Notamacropus eugenii: one gene and its partner. The protein of the gene in region 2 purifies or fractionates together with the protein of the main gene of each other region. This does not show direct contact. Links are inferred from orthologs where the notes say so. Each region holds a gene or a part of one and is shown on either strand. Other genes may lie near its edges. The genes, in order: DAPK3 and LUZP1.

Region 1 (8,877 bases), on a different chromosome or scaffold from region 2:
TGAGTTACTAAGAAGAAATAATGAGGCCCACAGAAGGGGCAAAGCCTATGCTTTTTCTTCAACACAGCTCTATCCAGAGCATTTCTGGATACAAAGAGTGGCAACCCCACTCTGGACTTGCCATGATCAAGGCAAAAGTTTAAAAGCAGAGAAGACTACAGAAAGGAGACTTTTGGAAGATGGCAAGGATATAAGGTTGATAAACCTCACTAGAATTCCTAGGATTTCAGAGACTAGGAGACATAGGCAAGTATGCCCTTATACACTTGGCCAAAAACCTTCCCCTCCTTGGACCTTAATTTTCCCTCCTTGTAAAGTGAGGAAATTGGATCATATCAACTCCATGATGGCTCTTGATTGCTAATACTGTAGGTTCATGTACCAGTTTGCCTAAAAATCATCTCCATACTCTGAGGACCAAAGCAGAGCTCAAGAAGCCAGGTAATGCCATGAAGCATTCACCAGTCTCTAGTCCCAGACTGAGATGGCCAAAAGACAGCTCCCTGTATAGTGGACTAAATATAGGCTCCTTCTAGGAAACATGATGCATTAAATCAGGGAGACTAGCTGGAGAAAGGAAGAAGGAGGGAGAAGAGAGCAAAAGATCAATGGCAGACCTACATCCCATCCCTACCACTGGGTTTTAATGTTTCAAGTGAGGGAAGAAGTCATAGGAACAAGTCAATCTGTTTCCCTGCCTTAGCCTTGAGCCTCATAAGGCTGTTAGAGGTAGGGACTGGTCTGATCATTCCCATTCCTTTAAGAGATGTGTGTAAAAAGGAATGAGAGACACTATATTAAAAAAAAGCTGCCTCACCTGTCATACTAAGAGAAACAATAATTTCAGATATTTTTCCATTGGGAAACTGAATCCTAGCCAAACTGCTGGGGAACTGAAGGTTATCAGGGGAGCCTAACACATCACCTCCTCTCACTCACCACATATCTGCCTCCAGACCCAGGGGCTCATAGTTCACAATCTCAGGAGCTTTAGGAGAGATAGGAAGAGAAGTTGGATCAGTCCTACTTTGTAAAAGATCAACTCTAGTATAAATATCCTAACATGAAACAATGTTAAGTCAGTTTGGGCACTGACCTAACAAGACACAATTTGGGCACTTGAGTTTCTATATGCCCAAAAGAGAGGATAACGTGACAAACAGAGAAATAGGTGGTTGCAATCCAGAAGGCTTTGTGGTAAGGAAAGCCAGGCATACTTGGGTTGTAAGAGATGCTGCAGCCAGCATTCTTAGCCTCTCCCTTTGCCAGAAAAAGCAACTTATTCAACTGGGAGTCCTTAAATGTTCAACATAGTCCTCTTCCCAGAACTCAGGACCCTATCACCTCTACTACATAGTATGGCCACTTACCTACGAACTCCGGGGTTCCAAAGATGTTCTTGAATTCATTCCCTGCCTCAATTTTGTGGGCAATGCCAAAATCAATTAGCTTGATTCGAGGGTTGGGCACATTCTTATCCAGAAGCATGATGTTCTCTGGCTGTAAGAAAGGGAAGAAAATCAGGGTTTAAATCCTTTGTAGGGTTTAAGGATAAATCTAGTGCAACAATTATTGTCAAATATGCTCCAAATTAGAAAAAAAATCATGAGCTTATGTTAGAAAGCCATCTAACCCTCCCAGAACAGACCAAGAACTGAATGGCAGCTGTTGCAGAAAAGAAAAAACTGCATTTGAACAGTTTTACAAAAAGCAACAAACTAGAAAGGCCCAAAGCCCAAGATGAAAGAAAAGCAGAAAAATGGAACAACAAATAGGGGCTTAAATACTCAAATTAACTCCTCTCCATAAAAGGAAACAAGGAAGGGGCTGAAGAAGCAAGAATACTGGGCAAAGCATCATTTCTAGAACTGGCCAGAATTCTCAGGGCCAGAAACAAGAGGATCATATGATTACAGACTTAAGTGTTTAGACCTTAGGGGCCATCGAGTTCAACCCATTCCTCTTACAAATGAGGAAACTGAGGCTGAGAGGTTAAGTGACTTACCCAGAGTCACACAGCTTCTACGTGCAGAGGCAGTATTCAAACCAAGGCCTTCTTTACACCAAGTTCAAGAAAGAACAGAATGGCCAGAGAAGGCTGTTCTCTATCCCTTTAAAAGTCCAAGGAAAGGTAAGGCAGGAAAGCAGGGCTCACCTTTAAGTCAAAGTGGGCAATCCGCTTGGAGTGCAGATAATGGACACCATCAAGGATCTGCTTAAGAAACTGGGTCGCCTCTTCCTCAGTTAGAGACTCCTTCTCAGCCAAGAAATCAAAGAGCTCACCCCCAGAAACCAGCTCCAAGATCAGCACTACATCTGTCTTGTTCTCAAAGATGTCATGGAGGGTAATGATGTTAGGGTGCTGGATCTCCCGAAGAATGTCCACCTCCCTCTCTATCTCCTCCCGGCTCACCCCCCGACGACTCGATGACAATCGCCTCTTCTTGATGAACTTGGCTGCATACTCCATCCCATTACTCTTCTGACGGCATTTCCGCACAATTGCAAACTGCCCACTGTACAGAGTTCAGGGAAGATGCAAGATAAGGGAAAATATGAAGGGAAAGAGAGAAAAGAGAAAAGCTCTTAGAAAAGCAGAGGTAGCCTTCTTTATTCCTCCTAGATGTCTCAGGTGAGAAGACTTGTGTTCAGACTCCATAAATGTTTCTCCCACAACAATGGACAAAGCACCCAAGACACCTGCAGATAGCTGGGATTCTTCCAGAGATACAATCTCCAATAAGGTGTGGAAGGCTACTAACTCTAGGAAAGAATGAAAACAGCAGCTGCCAGAACTAAGATAGGCCTATGATAGCATAACTCAGCTATGGGAAAAGGGCTTGAATAAGCCAATTTTGGGTTGGTCCCTGAAAATAATGATTCTATAGGATTAGGTTCAGATGTCCTCATACTCAGAACACATTCATACACTGTCACCAGATTTCCTTTGGGTAGTATATATAGAGGGTTGGATATTGTTCCCTTAATTTCCCAACTGGTGTTTATGAGGCAGTATAGCCAGAAAGTGGAAAGAAACGCAGTTGGATGACCTTCCAGGTAAGAAAATAGGTAATAAAAAAACTATGCAAATCAAAAAAACATAAAGCAGAAGTCATAAAAGAACAGGAGTGCAAAGTATTTCTTAATCAGGCCCTGATCTACCTATCTATTGTTATCTAACTTCCCTGAAAAAAAAACCCCAGCTTTATTGCCCTTACCAACAGCAACTACCCACTCAGTCAAGTCTTTCTCATTACTACACTGACGACACCAAGCTCATTCCAGACTCTTAGCCTCGGTTCTTCCTCAACCCCCACATGGAATGCCCCACTCACTCTTCTACCTCTCCAAAGCCTACCTACCCATTCTTTAAGGCCTCAATAAAATCCCATCTCCTCCAAGAAGTCTATCCTGATCATGCTAAACCATTCTCTTTCCCTTCTCCAAACTCCTCTATTTTCCTGAGAGTTGGTACCACACAAATTCTCATTCATTTCTGTTGTTTCCTTTAACGTTTGTCTTTCCAGTTATACTTTAAAAACAAACCCCATTAAGCCAGCCAGCAAGTATTTAGCAGCCACAAGGTCCAGAATTACACCTTACACTCCTCCTATATCTCCAACAAAAAAGCACAAAGTTGAGCTCACAGTAAGTGCTCAATATTCCTCAGCTACGTGAGAAATCCAAAAAAATCAGGCAACATAGTATTAAGTAATTTGAGTTCAAATCTCAGTTCTAAAAAAATGTAACCATAGGCAAGTCACTTCATTTTTCTAAGTTTCAGTCTTCTCATTACAGATTAGACACTACCTACTTTCTAAGGCTATTTATTGTAAGGAAGGTGTTTTATAAACCTTAAAGTCCTACTTAATGTGAGCTACTATTATAAGAATTACCTTGTTACTTTCATCCTACTAACCTACATGCCTCAACTTGAGGAAATTCCAAAAGCAGAGTATGATTTTAAAGGAACAAAGAGGCCCATGCGGTGGGAAGAAACTCTTTTCAGCCGAACCCACATACAATACTCAGTTATTTACATTTTTATCTGGTGACATCATCGGATTGGCCTATAGGCGGCACTAGGAGAGAGATGGCTGAACAAAACTCACCATATAAGGTTTGAGGCTCCGTGGGAGAGTGGAGACTTTAGGACTAACCAAGTATACAGATTTACAGGAAATTATCTACTTTGTTGAGTCAGGGGATTTAAACTTTTCTCACAAAAAAAAAAAATGAAAGCAGCTGGAATTGGTGACAATGGCACAAGAAACTCAACTTTTTTCAAACTTCCTTAGTCTTTCTATGACAAAGGATAAAAGGTAACATTAACCTGTCATCTGTTAACCCGTCTCCCTGAATGAGGAGAAGGAAGCAGAAGTCCACTTTCATGTTTGCTCGCTCTCCCCCATTATCAGCCCTCTCTCCCTGCCCTAGACTCTTACCTGCCCAGCTCCTCGCCCATCTCATAGTGGTCTTCCACATCCTCCTGCCTGAACGTGGACATGGCTGCAGGCCAGCCTCCAAAAGACGCGCAAACGGCCGCAGGAGGACAAGGAGGACAAAGCAGGCCTGGGAGAGACGGGCTGCAGCACCGGGCAGAGCGGCCTAAAGGAGGACAAGCCTTCCAGGAGTTAGGAGCCTAACGGGGTGGGGCTAGAGGGGCTGGGGATGCTGTACGTCCCTCCCCCCAACCCTCCCTGGCACCCACGCCCGGCCAGGACAGTCCCCTCAATCCCTCACCCCTTAAACGCTCCACGACAACCCGGGGCCAAGGACAGCCTTCCACCCATCCCGTCTCCCCTCCCCGGCCTGGCCTGCTCCTCCAAGGCCTGCCCGCCCGGCTCAGCTTCGGGCCCCGCGCCCCGCCGAGGCCCCCTCACCTCCATTCTCCTCCGAGCCCCTCGGTGACCCCCGCGGGGACCTCCCCCAAACGACACAACGGTCCCCGCACTGCCCTCCCCGGCCCGCAGGCCTCCCCCGCCTCCTACCTCAGGCCCCGCGCCGCCGGCGTCCCGTCAAGGGTCTAAGAAGGGAAGGCGAGACTGCAGCCAGCCCCGGCGCTTACCTCAGCACCCGGTCAGCGCCGCCGCAGCATTCCGACATGCTCTGTCGTCACCGCGCCGGCCCCCATTGGCCTATCCTCTGTCCCGTCTCGGTAACGTCATCGCGCTCCGACGTTCCCCCGCCCACAGCGCGCTGTCATTCTCTTTCCCTCTCTCCCCTGCCAACCAGGCCCGAGAAACTTTTGCGAGAAAGCCCCGCCCACGAGAGCCGGGCGGGGGGGAGGGGAGGGAGGAGGGGCCTCCGCTGTTGGTCTCTGAGTTGCTTGGCCCTAGAGGGCGGAGGGGAAGAAGGGCGGGACAAGGCCGTGTTGGAAAAGAAACTGATTGGCTCTTGCCGGTGCAAGTTAGAGAGGCGGAGGAAGAAAGACTAGTTTCCGGTTCCTAGTTCTCCCTACGAGTGCGGAGCCGGGGCTTTGGCTCCAAAAGCTGGGGTTTGTTTTCCTTCTCTCCTCCGTGCAGGCCCGTGCAGTTTTTCTACGTAATGGCTGGCGGGCGTTTCTCTAAGTGCTTTGTCTTGAGAGGATTTTATGGAGAGTTAGAAAACTCAGATCAAGCGACCTTGAAAAGCTTTGTTTCTCGCCCTTATGAAGACCAGGGTGGGGAAGTGACTGGGGAAGATTCCCAGGCGTCCCAACCCAGCGGTTTAGAGCCAGAGCTGAAGGCCCTCGGAGACCGTGGGGGAGATGGCGACCGGCCAGAGGCGGGCACCCTCAGACTGGACGGTAGTGGTGTAGCGGGTACAGCGCTGGGCCTGGAGTCAGCACGACCCGAGTTCAGATCGGACCTCGCTGATGCTCCAGCTGCGGCTGTCACCACGACTGTTACACCTGCGTGTACACTTCATGCGTGCAGTTTAGTTGGACTGAGCCACGTCCCTTTAATGCGGCAGCGTGTCGCTCTGTTGAGTCGAGTCTGACTCCTCAACATCCCAAATGGGACTTTCTCGGCAAAGATCCTGGAGGGGTTTGCCATTTCCTTCTCCGGCTCACTTTACAGAAAAGGAAACGGAGGCAAACTGGGACACACAGCTAGGCAGAATTTGGACCACAAAACGTAGGGAATGTTTGAAGCTGGAAATGTTGATTGATTGGTGCTAGAGTTCAGGGTAGAGTTCACGTAGTTCTTGGTCAGATGTGCGCTTCAGGAATTTCAGGGAAATTCAGTCTACTGCAGTCCACGTGAGAAAGTGAATGTGTAAGTAGGATGGCGATGTGAGTAGAGAAAGGATCCCATGAGATTATCACGGAGATAATACAAGCAGACAACAGCTACTCTCATCTCATCCTGGCATATTAAATAATTTCAAGTTGTCAAGTACAATCAAGTTTACAAACTCAGAATGTCATACAATTGCCTCCACATTTCCCTTTCCCAGTAGTTCGATAGTATATGCACCACCCAAAGGCTTGTATAAATATCACCAGAATTAAGTTTTAGTCACAGCTCAAAATACTTATTGCATTGTGATCTTCCAAACTCTTAACAAGAAAATCTGAAGTACTAGTTTTAGCAATGTTTGAAATGTAAAGGACTGAACTGGGCTTTTAAGGCATTCTTTTCATTTAGTTAAATGCACTTGAAGCAAATCACACATGGGGTACAACGGGCATTTTAGCAAACCTGTGAAAGCTGAGTAAAAACTCTTTTAGAAAACGATGTCCAAGAGCTAAGTCTAAAGCAGCTGAGGCCTTCTACAGATCCTAGCTTTTTCTCCTGAGGGAAACTAATTGTTCCCTCTTTTGCAGCCAAGTCAACTTTCTGGCTGAACCCCCTTTCTAAGTGCTACTCCACATTCAAAACACCCTTACCACTTCAGGAATGCAACAGCAAGGATCTCTAGCTACCATTCTTACAGAGTAAGACAATTTCAGCTACCAGTTCATATTCCAGTGTATTACAGATTTATCCAGGCCACAATCTCAAATTGCAGCAAGGAAAGCCAAATACTGTTAAGATTCTGGGAGAATGTATCATGGGAAGTAAAATATATAATCTGTGGAGGACAGCAAACCTGGGCTGATCATATTTTGGATGTTTCACACAAATACAATCAAACCACATATGCCAAGGATGGACTTTACTTTAGCACCAAAAAAAAAAAAAAAATCCATTCATAATCCCCAGCAGTAAATGCAGTTATTTCTCCAATACTTAGGTTTTCAATAAATGCCCATTAACCAAATGTTGAGCTTGTATGGTTCAAAATCACTACCAAATGAGTTGTTGAAATCTAAATGCAGGAAAAAAGCACTTGGTAATTAACTGGATCCTAAGTTAACTTGCTGAGAAACCACATGAAGAGTGGTACCCAGAAGTAAAAGACAACCCCATACCTGGAATGAATCACTTCAACACTGTTATTGATATTCATCACCATATCAAATTTATTATTCCAATGGCACTAATACATCTGTAGATGTTCATGATGACAATCACACTGCACAAAATTTTCTTGCCTTCTAGTTTCTGGCCAACTAGAAAATATCTCCTTAACATTCCCCTCACCATTCCTGAAGATCCACTACAGGCCATTTACCCAAGCAAAACCTCTTAATGCACTCTTGAAATTTGGGGGGGCACTATGTTTCCCTTTGAAAAATGAAAAAAACATTACCTATCCCAACCCACCCCCCCTTGGCCAAATATACCCTGCAAAGAGGACACTTTTTCTACCTCTTTGAAGACTTGAATAAATATGGAAACAGGCAACTCAAGTTGCATCAAGTGGAAATGTTTCAAGTTATGGCACCGAGTGGGCCCCAAATGTGTCATGTGCAACACAGAAACCTATAAGGCTGAATATCAATGTGTTTTGAAAGTCTCAAGTTGCTATGAACTGATTAAGTATATGCAAAGAGATGTCATTGCAGTTTTAACAATTTGCTGCATTGGTGTTATGCTAGAGTCCAACAGGAGTCTGAACTGATGTTGGAAAGAGCTTTTACAATTTGTCCAGGAAGTTGTCCAGGGCTGGGATACCTTCCTTCAGCCCTTTGCGTTTGCGGGTCTCTGCCACAACTTGGCAAGGGCGGCTAGTGTTGTCAAAGGGGTCTCCAGGCAGGATCTGCCAATGGTCAAATACACATTGAGGGAAGGCTTGGCCACCTGTATTAGACCTCAAGTCAGCTGTGAAGCCTAGACGAGAAGGGAAAGGATAAGAAAGGGAAAAGTTTAAAATTCAAACGAAAAGTACCAACATCACCTTAAACATAAAAATGACCGATCTGCAACACTGAAAAGTATCTCCCCCACCAAAAATTTTTCTAAAGTAAGTTTTCGTTACAATGACCTAACCAACATCGTCTATAAACCACTGTATACTACTTTCCACAATCATCAAAACTCATTTGATCTTCACAAGCACCAATGAGAAAAGAAAATAAGATCAAGGCCACAGAACTAAAGTCTGAAACACAAGTTAGTATGCCTTCTTTATTGAAAGGTCTTATTACTCTAAGTACTTACCAAAAGATTCATTGACAGGCAGATAGGCTTTCACAACAAACATGGGGGTGCCAGCAACCTGGGATTCCTCAAACACATGCCCTCGCTTCCTGTTCAGGACACCATAAATGCCCCCAACCACTTGTTCTGGACACTAAATGGAATTTTTAAAAAGTTAACATTACATGACAGTGTAGCGAAGATGAAGTCAGAGCAACCAAGAGCTTTTTTTTCCCCCAAGACATCTCAAGTAGCATAGCATATTTCTTACCTGAATCTCCACAAGATAGATAGGTTCCATAAGACGGGGCTGAGCAGTCAACACACAGGCATAAAGGCAGCGCCGGGCTGTGGGGATGATTTGGCC
Region 2 (8,877 bases):
CTCAGGACACTAAAAAAATCCTTTTGAGTCCTGGCTCTGACACTTTCTGTCTGTGTAACCATGAGCCAATAAATCACTTAGTTCGCTCCTTTGAGCCTCAGTTTTCCACATCCATAAAATGGGAATAATGTACTTTCACTGCCTACCTCACCAGTTATTATAAAGTGCTTTGTAAACCTTAAAGAAATGTAGAGCTCTTACTTTTTCCTGCCTTGATCAGGTCACTTCAGTAATCTCTCAATGTGATCAAACAGGGGCAATGGAGTCTCTTCTAACTGTAAATTTCATAAAAGCCTCAGGCACCAACAAAAATCCCAACCAAAAGGGCCCTGCCCCCAAATATACACAAAATAAAAGGCCCTCCCCTAAACAAAACATGTTAAAAATGCAAATCAAAGTTTATTAGGAATAGTTAACGCTGCACCACCACTTTGGGTTAGGGATTGGCAGCCTATGTCTTAACCTGGATATGTATCTTATCTTTATCGAACTGCCTTAAAAGCTCCCAGAGGTACCTAACATCAGGAAGTATTCACTTTCTGTTCCTGAATATCACAGAGAGGGCTTCTACAAGAGAAGACAGTTTGACACCACCTATCTTCCCACAACCACTGATCCACACCCCCTGACCACAATAGGAACTCTCCAGCTCTCAACATTTTCGTCTGAGGAATACCACCAGCATCACCAGTCATTATAAAAAGTGCCTACTATGTACCACCATCAATTTCTATGTTGCCTATAAGGCCCCAAACTCAAAACCATCAAGCCCTCAACAAAAAAAAACAAAACAAAAAAACATTTTCTGGTAGATTTCCCCTAGTAGGATGTCAGTTCAGTGGGGGCAGGTTTTTCTTGTGGTACTCTGCATAGATCCTCTAAAATCACTTCCAGACCTAAATCTATGACACCAACACATAGCAACAACCTAATAAACTCTTGTTTTGTGGATTCTGGCAACACTACCATGAAACAATGGTATGCGTCTGTATCCCCCTTTTCTAAAGAGTGACTTAAGTGACAGCCTTGGTTCACAGAGTTTCTCCACATCAAAGCTAGCACTAGAATCCAGGTCGCTTTATTTCCAGAGAGTGTTTTTTCAGTTAGGTCAAAATAATGGGGAAAAGTTAACTTCTAAGAACTAAAGAAAGCTCAGTCAAAATAATAAAGCTTAAGTGTATCAGGGGAAAAAAAAACCCTGGAGTCAGAAGTAGGGTGAAATCTGTGTGACCTTGGGCAAGTCAATTCAAGTCCATAGGCCTCAGTTTCCTCATCTGTAAAACAATAATGCGGAACTAGATAATCTCTTGGATCAAACGAGATAATATCTGTAAAAGCAATTAACACAGCACCCGGCATAGGTTGTTCAGTCATTCAGTCCTGTCTGATTCTTCATGATCCCGTGGACCACAGTAAAGAGTCCCTTCTGTTCTCCATTATCTCCCAAAGACTGTCAAAACTAATGTTTATTGTATCCATGACACTATTCATCTCCTCCTCTTTTGTCCCATTTTCCTTTTGCCGTCAATCTTTCCCAACATCAGGGTCTTTTCCAATGAGTCTCATCTTTTCATTACATGACCAAAGTATTTAAGAAATGTTTACTTCCTCCTTCCTTCTAAGGTCCTTGACAGCTCTAACATCCTCTAATTCTAAGAAAACTGCTCATGCTTTTATTTAATAAATATTTGCTAAGTGCCTACTATGTGTAATATATTAGTCACTGGGGAGGAGGATATGATAAGAACATGCACCCTATCTTCAAACAACTTAGTAGGGTTGATCAGACATATATACAAATATACAAATAAGAAAAGTGCAAAGTATTTGAGAAATTGAAACAATCCAGAACACTTAGATTTCTGCTGGTTTACTCATGCCCCCAACTTCCCACCGACCCCTCCCCCAACAAACTACTCTCAGTTTGCTCAAATAGATTTTCTTACAATGTTTAGGAAAATAGTTTAATTTTAGAAACTTGGAAAATTCCACAAAACAAAGTGATCAAAAACATATCTGCCCTGAGGGGAAATTCTAACCAAAATAATTATTTCTGACAGAAGAATTTTCTACTTGGTTACTTCACTTAGCCATTCAAAACACTCCACTCCAGCAAAGGGGTGATGGAAAGGTGTGTTTGCAAAGTATGACAGCTCATATTCTCCCACAGAAAATAGTGCAGTGAAAAGAGCACTGGATCTGTCAGAGGTAGGGTTTCAACTTCTGACATTAGCTGTGTGACCCTGGGTAAGTCACTTCCTTTCCCCCAGGACCTCAGTTTCCCTTTCTGTAAAATGAGAGGGCCAGCTTGGTGGCCTGGAGTGAGGAAGACCTTAGTTCAAATGCCCTTTCAGACACTTCCTAGCTGTGTGACCCTGGGCAAGTCACTCAACCCTGTTTGCCTCGGTTTCCTCATCTGTAAAATGAGCTGGAGAAGGAAATGGCAAAACCAGTATCTTTGCCAAGAAAATCCCAAATGGGGCCAGGGAGAGAGCTGGGCAGGACCCGAACGGATTGAACAACAAAAAATGAAAGAGTGAGATTACATGATCTCAAAGGTTCCTAGCAGATCTAAAATCTCTACTCGATGGTCCGCTGTTGTCAGATGGTAGAGACAACTCATAGGAGGACTTGAAGTCCTCAGTTCTCATACCAGGCCAGCTAATTAGAACTGAGCAGCAGTCAGTTGGTAAAAGAAATGTACCTCAGAGAGACACCGCCCCTCATAACATCCCCACGAGGCTGGGAGGACCTGGGAGTATCATCCTCAATTGTCAGATAAGACAGCACAAGTCCCTTCCCCCAAGGTCACCGAGTGAGTCAGGGGAGGTGGGACTAGCATGGTAGGTCAGTGTATCTAGTCCCTAGTCTAGGACGCTTCCTCTTTGGGGGTGTCTACCCCCAGAGTGTGAGAACCGGCTCCGGCATTGCTGAGACAATACGTAACGCTGCTCCCGGGGCATCGGGAAAGGGTCTGACGTGAGGAAGAAAGGCTCCAGGGCTAGCCGATCCTCCTTGGCTTGCATACTCAAGCCATTAACCGGGACCGCAAGATACCAGAGCGACTGTTAAGAGGGGCCCATGACCTGGAATACTCACTCCCAAGGACATGAGACTCCCTGAAGACGCCCTCCCTTCTCTGGAAAAGGACACTCACTCTCAAAACCACAGTTCATGGCAGTACTTCTGGAAGCCAGGATTCTCCTCTGGGTTTCTGTGGGGAGATCGGCACAGATCTCCTCTGGGAAGCCGAGGGAGGGAAGGAGGGAAGGAAGGAGGCAGGCAGACAAGCCGCACACTCTGCGGAAAAGTTTAATGTGACTTGGGGCTGGGGGGTGGGGGGGAGGGGGCGGTGCTCCCCCAAGGAAGGCACGGCCTCCTCCCCAGGCGCCCGGCTTGGTAATTAGCCCCTTCCCCGAGCTCTCCCCGCATTTCCTTTCAGATTCCACAATTAATTAGTTTTAAGGACTGTCTACTGGCAACTTAAACAAAGCAAATGCCTCAAATTCCTTCTCAGCCCATTGGTCTAAGCCGAAAACCAGCATCGCCTGGGACAGCGGGCAGGGCAGACAGCTGCTGCTGCTCCAGCCACAGAACTCAACTCAACTGCACTCTTCTCCTCTCCTCTCTTCTTCTCTCCTCTCCACTCCCTTCCCTTCCTTTCCTTTCCCTCTGACCTCCCCTCACCCCTCCCAGGGCGGGGAGTAGGGATTCTCTTCGGACCCGCCAGGCCTCCTTCCCACCCCCAATTCCTGTTCCTGTCCTTTCCCCATTCCCAAACTCTGCCCTCCCCTCCTCGATCTCCCGGGCTTTTCCTGTATGATCACTTCCTTCCTCTCGGGGTTCTCCCTCCTCCTCGTACAGCCTTCCCCCCATACACGATGGGGGACCCCACCACCACCGCGCCCTCAAATCCTTTAGGCTTCCTTTTCCCGCCCCAAGCCCCTGGATTCCCTGGATTCCCACTCCCACCTTCCACTCATTCTCCTGATTTTTACTCCCCGCCCAGACGGACCTCTCTCTCCACTGATTCTCCCCTCCTCACCTCTCCTAAGTTCTCAGATTGCCCCCTCCTCACTTCTCCGCTCAGGTTCTCTGCCTCCATCTCAGACTGTCCTCTCCTCACCTCCGCACCTCCCCTCCTCCCCTCGGATTCTCCCCCTCCCCCAGCCCTCCTCGGCTTTTCACCTTCTCCAGATTTCTCCTTGGAGTCTCCTCGCAATCAGTCTCTTTCCCGGGATGATCAAGCCCACCACGTCGGCCCCTTCCACCCCCGCAGCCTGTCACTCACACGCTTGCGCCCCCCGGACGCCCCCTCCCCGCACGGCTCCGGGGGGCTCTCGCCCCTCACTCACCCGCCCGCACTGTCAGCCCGAGCTCCGGCCCAGGTGGCGCAGCCCGGCGGCCAGGGAGGCTCGGCGCCCTCCGCGAGTGCCCCACGCGCCCGCCCGGGCTCCTTCTTCCCGGGCTAGATCCCCGGGTCCCGGGCTGCCCGGCCCGGTCGGAGGTCCCTGCCTCGGGCTCCCGCGCCCTCCCCGGGGCCCCGTTCTCACCTGGGCGGCTGCGGCCCCGGCCCCGGCCCGGCCCGCCCGCGCTGCGGAGGCTCCCCGCGCTGGGCTCCTCCGGGCGGCCGGCAGCTCTAGCTCCACGGGACTGACAATGAGGGGCGGGCCGCAGCTGACGTCAGCGCCGGGCCGGGGGCGGGCCCAGGGGGAGGGGGAGGGGAGCAGAGGGAGGAGGAGGAGGAGGTCCCCTTCCCCCTGCCCCTCTTCTCCTTCCTCCCCTCCAGGACTCCCCCTCCAGGACTCCCCCTCCATAGCTCCTCACCTCTCCTCCCTCCTCCCACCACCCTTCCCCTCCCCCCTAGGCTTATCCACCCCTCCCCCCCAGGGCAAGTCTGGACTTAGGTGTAGTCCAGTGAAACAGTCACTCCCGCCACCCATAGGTAAGCACCTGGGCTGCGCGGGGAGAAGGAGCGCGGAGGGAGGGAGGGAAGTGCGGGAGCCCTGGGATTGGCTGCGGAATTCAGAGCTAAACCGGGCACCTCCGAGCGCTTCTAGCCCAACCCCCTCATTCCCTGTAGTAGGAAACTGAAGACCAGAGAGGTACAGCGCTCGCCACCGGACGTCTTAGAATCTTAGATTAGCAGCTTCAAAGACCCTGGCCCCATATTACAGGTGGGGAAACTGAGGCACCAAGAGACTAAATGACTTGCCCAAGGTCACGCAGCTAATCAATGTCATAGGATCATAGGTTTATCCTGTAGATATTAAGCTTTTCACCTGCGGGTTTCTCATTCGAGTCTCCTTTCTATCAGTCTCTTTTCTGGGAAGGTCCAATAATTTAAAACTGCACCAAGACTTTTGGGACAGCCTGTATACATTGTTTGTACGTAGTTGTTAGGTCGTTTCCCCCATGAGACTGGAAGCTCCGTGAAAGCAGCCTTTCTTTGTATCAGTGCCTGGCACTTAGTAGGGGCTCAATAAATACTCGTTGACTTGACTTGGAAGGCTATCTAGCCCAGCCCCGTCCTTTTCCTGGTGAGGAATCGGAAGCTTGATGAGATTCGAACCGGCGTCTTCTAACTCCAATCTGTGCTCTTTCCACTACATCCGAAATATTTCAAGTCCTTTTTTTTTTTTTTCCGCTAAACTTCGAGCCCTGGGAGCTATCTGACCCCCCTGAGTACTTTGCACATTATTTTTTTTTTCCTTTGGTCAAGATCTGTGATTTCATTGGTTTAGAGACACCAAGTGGGGAAAACTCCCTTTACTCCTGCTTATCCACCAGTGTCTGCAGTTTATGGTTTTAGACAGCATGAGAGGGGAGGCCCTCTAAAGTAGGGGTGGGGGAGGGGTGTTAAATGGATTGCCCAGGGTCACCCAGACAATTTGGGTCCGAGGCAGTTCTGGGACCCAGTTTTTCCCGACTCTCAGCCTCTTTTTTGCTTTGCTCATAGAAAGCAATTTTTACGTGTTTCATCAACAGAATAGTTGACTGACTGTTAACTGATGATGGCCCATTCTCATGGTCAGTATTTTTCCATCCCTGCAAACACCTGTCAGTAAGTGGCTGCTGCAGGATCCTCCCTGTTAGCTCTATGCCGCAAAGTTGACCCATTTCTGCCTGGTGCCTGTGGACAACTCGTGCCTCTTTCTCAAAAAAAAAAAAAAATGTTTTAAATCGCACGTAGCATCTTCTGCAGTCCTCCACCAGAACTGCAGTGGGCATCCATGGACCTGCTGGACTTCAAGAAGAAAGGGAAGTCTTTGGGATCCTGTCTTTGGGACAGCTTCCCAGGTCCCCATGGACAAAAATGATTGCCCCCTGGGAGAAGCTAGGGCAGGGATGAACACAGACGCCTGAAACAAAAGTAACTAGTATTGGGGGAGATCATTCCACAATGCCTGAAGTCTGAGAATTACTCTTACCTTAAAAGAGAGGTGAGAGCTTTCAGTGAATGAATTAATAAATTAATGAATGCATGTAGGCATTATTGGGAGGGCTTACTATGTGCCAAGACAAGGCCTGCTATGTGTCAACCCCTGCTCCAGACCCTGGAGATCTCTGTTAGGGACTAATCAGGATTAGTACTTATTCAGTGGCATCACAGAGAGGGAGCAGGTTTCTAGCCAAGTTTTTGTAAGACCTTGGATTATTGAGTTGCAGTTTCCAATTCCATCTGGCGCGACATGTGTCTGTCATTCAATTCAACCCAATAAATACTGATTCCTAGAATCTTAGAAGTACTAAAATGTTCACAATGTCAGAGTTGGAAAGGACCCATTGTGATGTACAAAGTACAAGGGGAGGGCACCCAAGACTCCCAATCGTATTTGATCCCTTCTCAAAATTGTACTGGAGATCAACACTCATAATATTAAATTTCAGAGTTAGAAAGGAGATTGAGAGCATGGAATCTTAATAATAACTTGTATTTCTCTACCATTTTATGGTTTGCAAAACATTTTTCTCACAACAGCCGTATCAAGTAGGGAGGGCAAGGATTATCCCCATTTTAGAAATGAGAAAACTGGAGATCAGAAAGATTAAGTTGATTTGCCTGTGGTCACTTAACCCCTCTGAGCTTCAACCTATACATTTAGTAGCTAATAAATGGGGATCTAGGTGGTACAGTGGAGTCAGGAAGACCTAAGTTCAAATTTGGCCTCAGACACTAGGCTTGTGACTTTGGACAAGTCACTTCACCCTGTATACTTAAATTTCTTCATGTGTAAAATGAACTGGAGAAGAAAATGGCAAACCACTCCAGTACCTCTGCCAAGAAAACCCCAGTTGGATTCACAAAGAGGCTGAGATGACTGAAAAACAAAAAAACTACTAAATGTCAAAGACAGGATTAAAACCCAGGCCCTCCTGGGGCCCTCCTTGACTCCAAGATCAGCATTCTTTCTACTACATCACTCTGTCCTCTTTTAAAGCAGAAAGAAAAAGTAAAATATAGTCACCCCCATATAGACCCAAGATGGAAGAAACATCAGAATATAGAATGCCAGAGCTGGACGGGACTTCAGCACACAGATTGTTAGAACAGAACGTCAGCATACTGAATGTCAAAGCAGGAGAAGACACTGGAACACGAATTTCATGAGTTGGGAGACGTGTATCAGATTTTATAGTCCAACCCTCCTTTTTACAGATGAGGAAACTGAATCCTAGAGAAATGAAATGTCTTATCCAAGGTCACTCGTGAGTTAACGACAGTCAGGATTTGAACCTAAGTTTTGCAGTGTGGGACTCTTTTTATTGAACAATACCACACATCTTCTATTTCTTCTCTCCTCACTAATCACCTCACCACTATAAGAAGTGCCAAGAAACACCATCCAGACACCCAAGTTACTCATAAGCATTACAATTTTATTTATCTGTAATCTTGGCAGTATTCTGTGACACACAGTGTGGTTTGCCCACATCACAATTCTTTGGGGATACCACTGGTCCCCAGTAGTAATACCCCTTTCCCCAAAAACTTCCTTGTCTTCTTTGATAGGCAACAGGATGTAAGGGGAAAAACACTGGATTGAGTCAAAAGACCCAAGTTTCTGTCTTTGCCACTAATTTGCAAAATTATTCCACCCTTCTGATGATATAAAAAGAAGGGGTGCAGCTAAATGATCTCAAGATTCCTTTCTACTCTTCAAATTCTGTGTTCTAAAGCCCTATTTAGCTCTAACAACCAATGTTCTAGCTCTTTGCCTGAAATTGACATTTCATCCTCCATCTCCATATCTTGGACAGTGGTCCTCCTGTGGACCTGAACACATTCCCTTCTCATCTCTACCTCCATTCAGGGAAGCCTCCCTTGATAGTCCCAAGTGTTATAGGAACAAGTGTTCCTATCCCAAACAGTCTAATATTTACTTATCTATGTATATGTTACAATCCCCTGTAAGTCTGTGGTAAATTTCCTTATGCTACTGGTATGTTACTTAAAGAAAGGAACCATTTTAGTATTTGTCCATATGTCCTTAGCACTAAGACCAGTAAATTTTTCACTTTTGACCTATTTCATCAGTGTAGAAAAAGCTTCTGGTTAAATACTACCAAGCATTACCACTGCCATGTATATTTAGTTTAAAATTGCCTCTGAGTAGTTAAGTGATTTATCCAAGGTCACATAATATGTGTCAGGAAGAGACATGAACCCTTCTCTTCATGATTCTCTAAGGCCAGCTTTCTATTTACTATACTAACTACAATATGACCTACACCACACCCTAATGAGAATTTAATAAATGTACCTAATGGGTACTTGGGGCAACTGGGTGGCATAGTGTACAAAGTGCTAGTCTGGAGTCAAAATCCTTCCTGATTTCAAATCCAACCTCAGACACTTCCTAGCTGTGTGATCCT

Evidence for each region.
Region 1: the proteins of LUZP1 (region 2) and DAPK3 purify together in Homo sapiens (affinity purification with mass spectrometry; 3 studies listed by BioGRID and IntAct, with this or other methods). This does not show direct contact. The link is inferred for Notamacropus eugenii from reciprocal best matches to the Homo sapiens genes LUZP1 and DAPK3.

The regions. Positions count from the first base shown.
Region 1 is NC_092875.1:71,133,313-71,142,189, forward strand, and holds the start of DAPK3 (death-associated protein kinase 3), read right to left. Parts: upstream 5,141-8,877; 5' UTR 4,992-5,140; intron 4,609-4,991; 5' UTR 4,508-4,608; coding exon 4,446-4,507; intron 2,517-4,445; coding exon 2,156-2,516; intron 1,501-2,155; coding exon 1,371-1,500; intron 989-1,370; coding exon 940-988; intron 1-939. Other genes in the region: EEF2 (elongation factor 2), read right to left, coding at 8,008-8,201, 8,532-8,664, 8,782-8,877. UniProt on the Homo sapiens protein: Serine/threonine kinase which is involved in the regulation of apoptosis, autophagy, transcription, translation and actin cytoskeleton reorganization. Involved in the regulation of smooth muscle contraction.
Region 2 is NC_092876.1:63,559,600-63,568,476, forward strand, and holds the start of LUZP1 (leucine zipper protein 1), read right to left. Parts: upstream 4,662-8,877; 5' UTR 4,554-4,661; intron 1-4,553.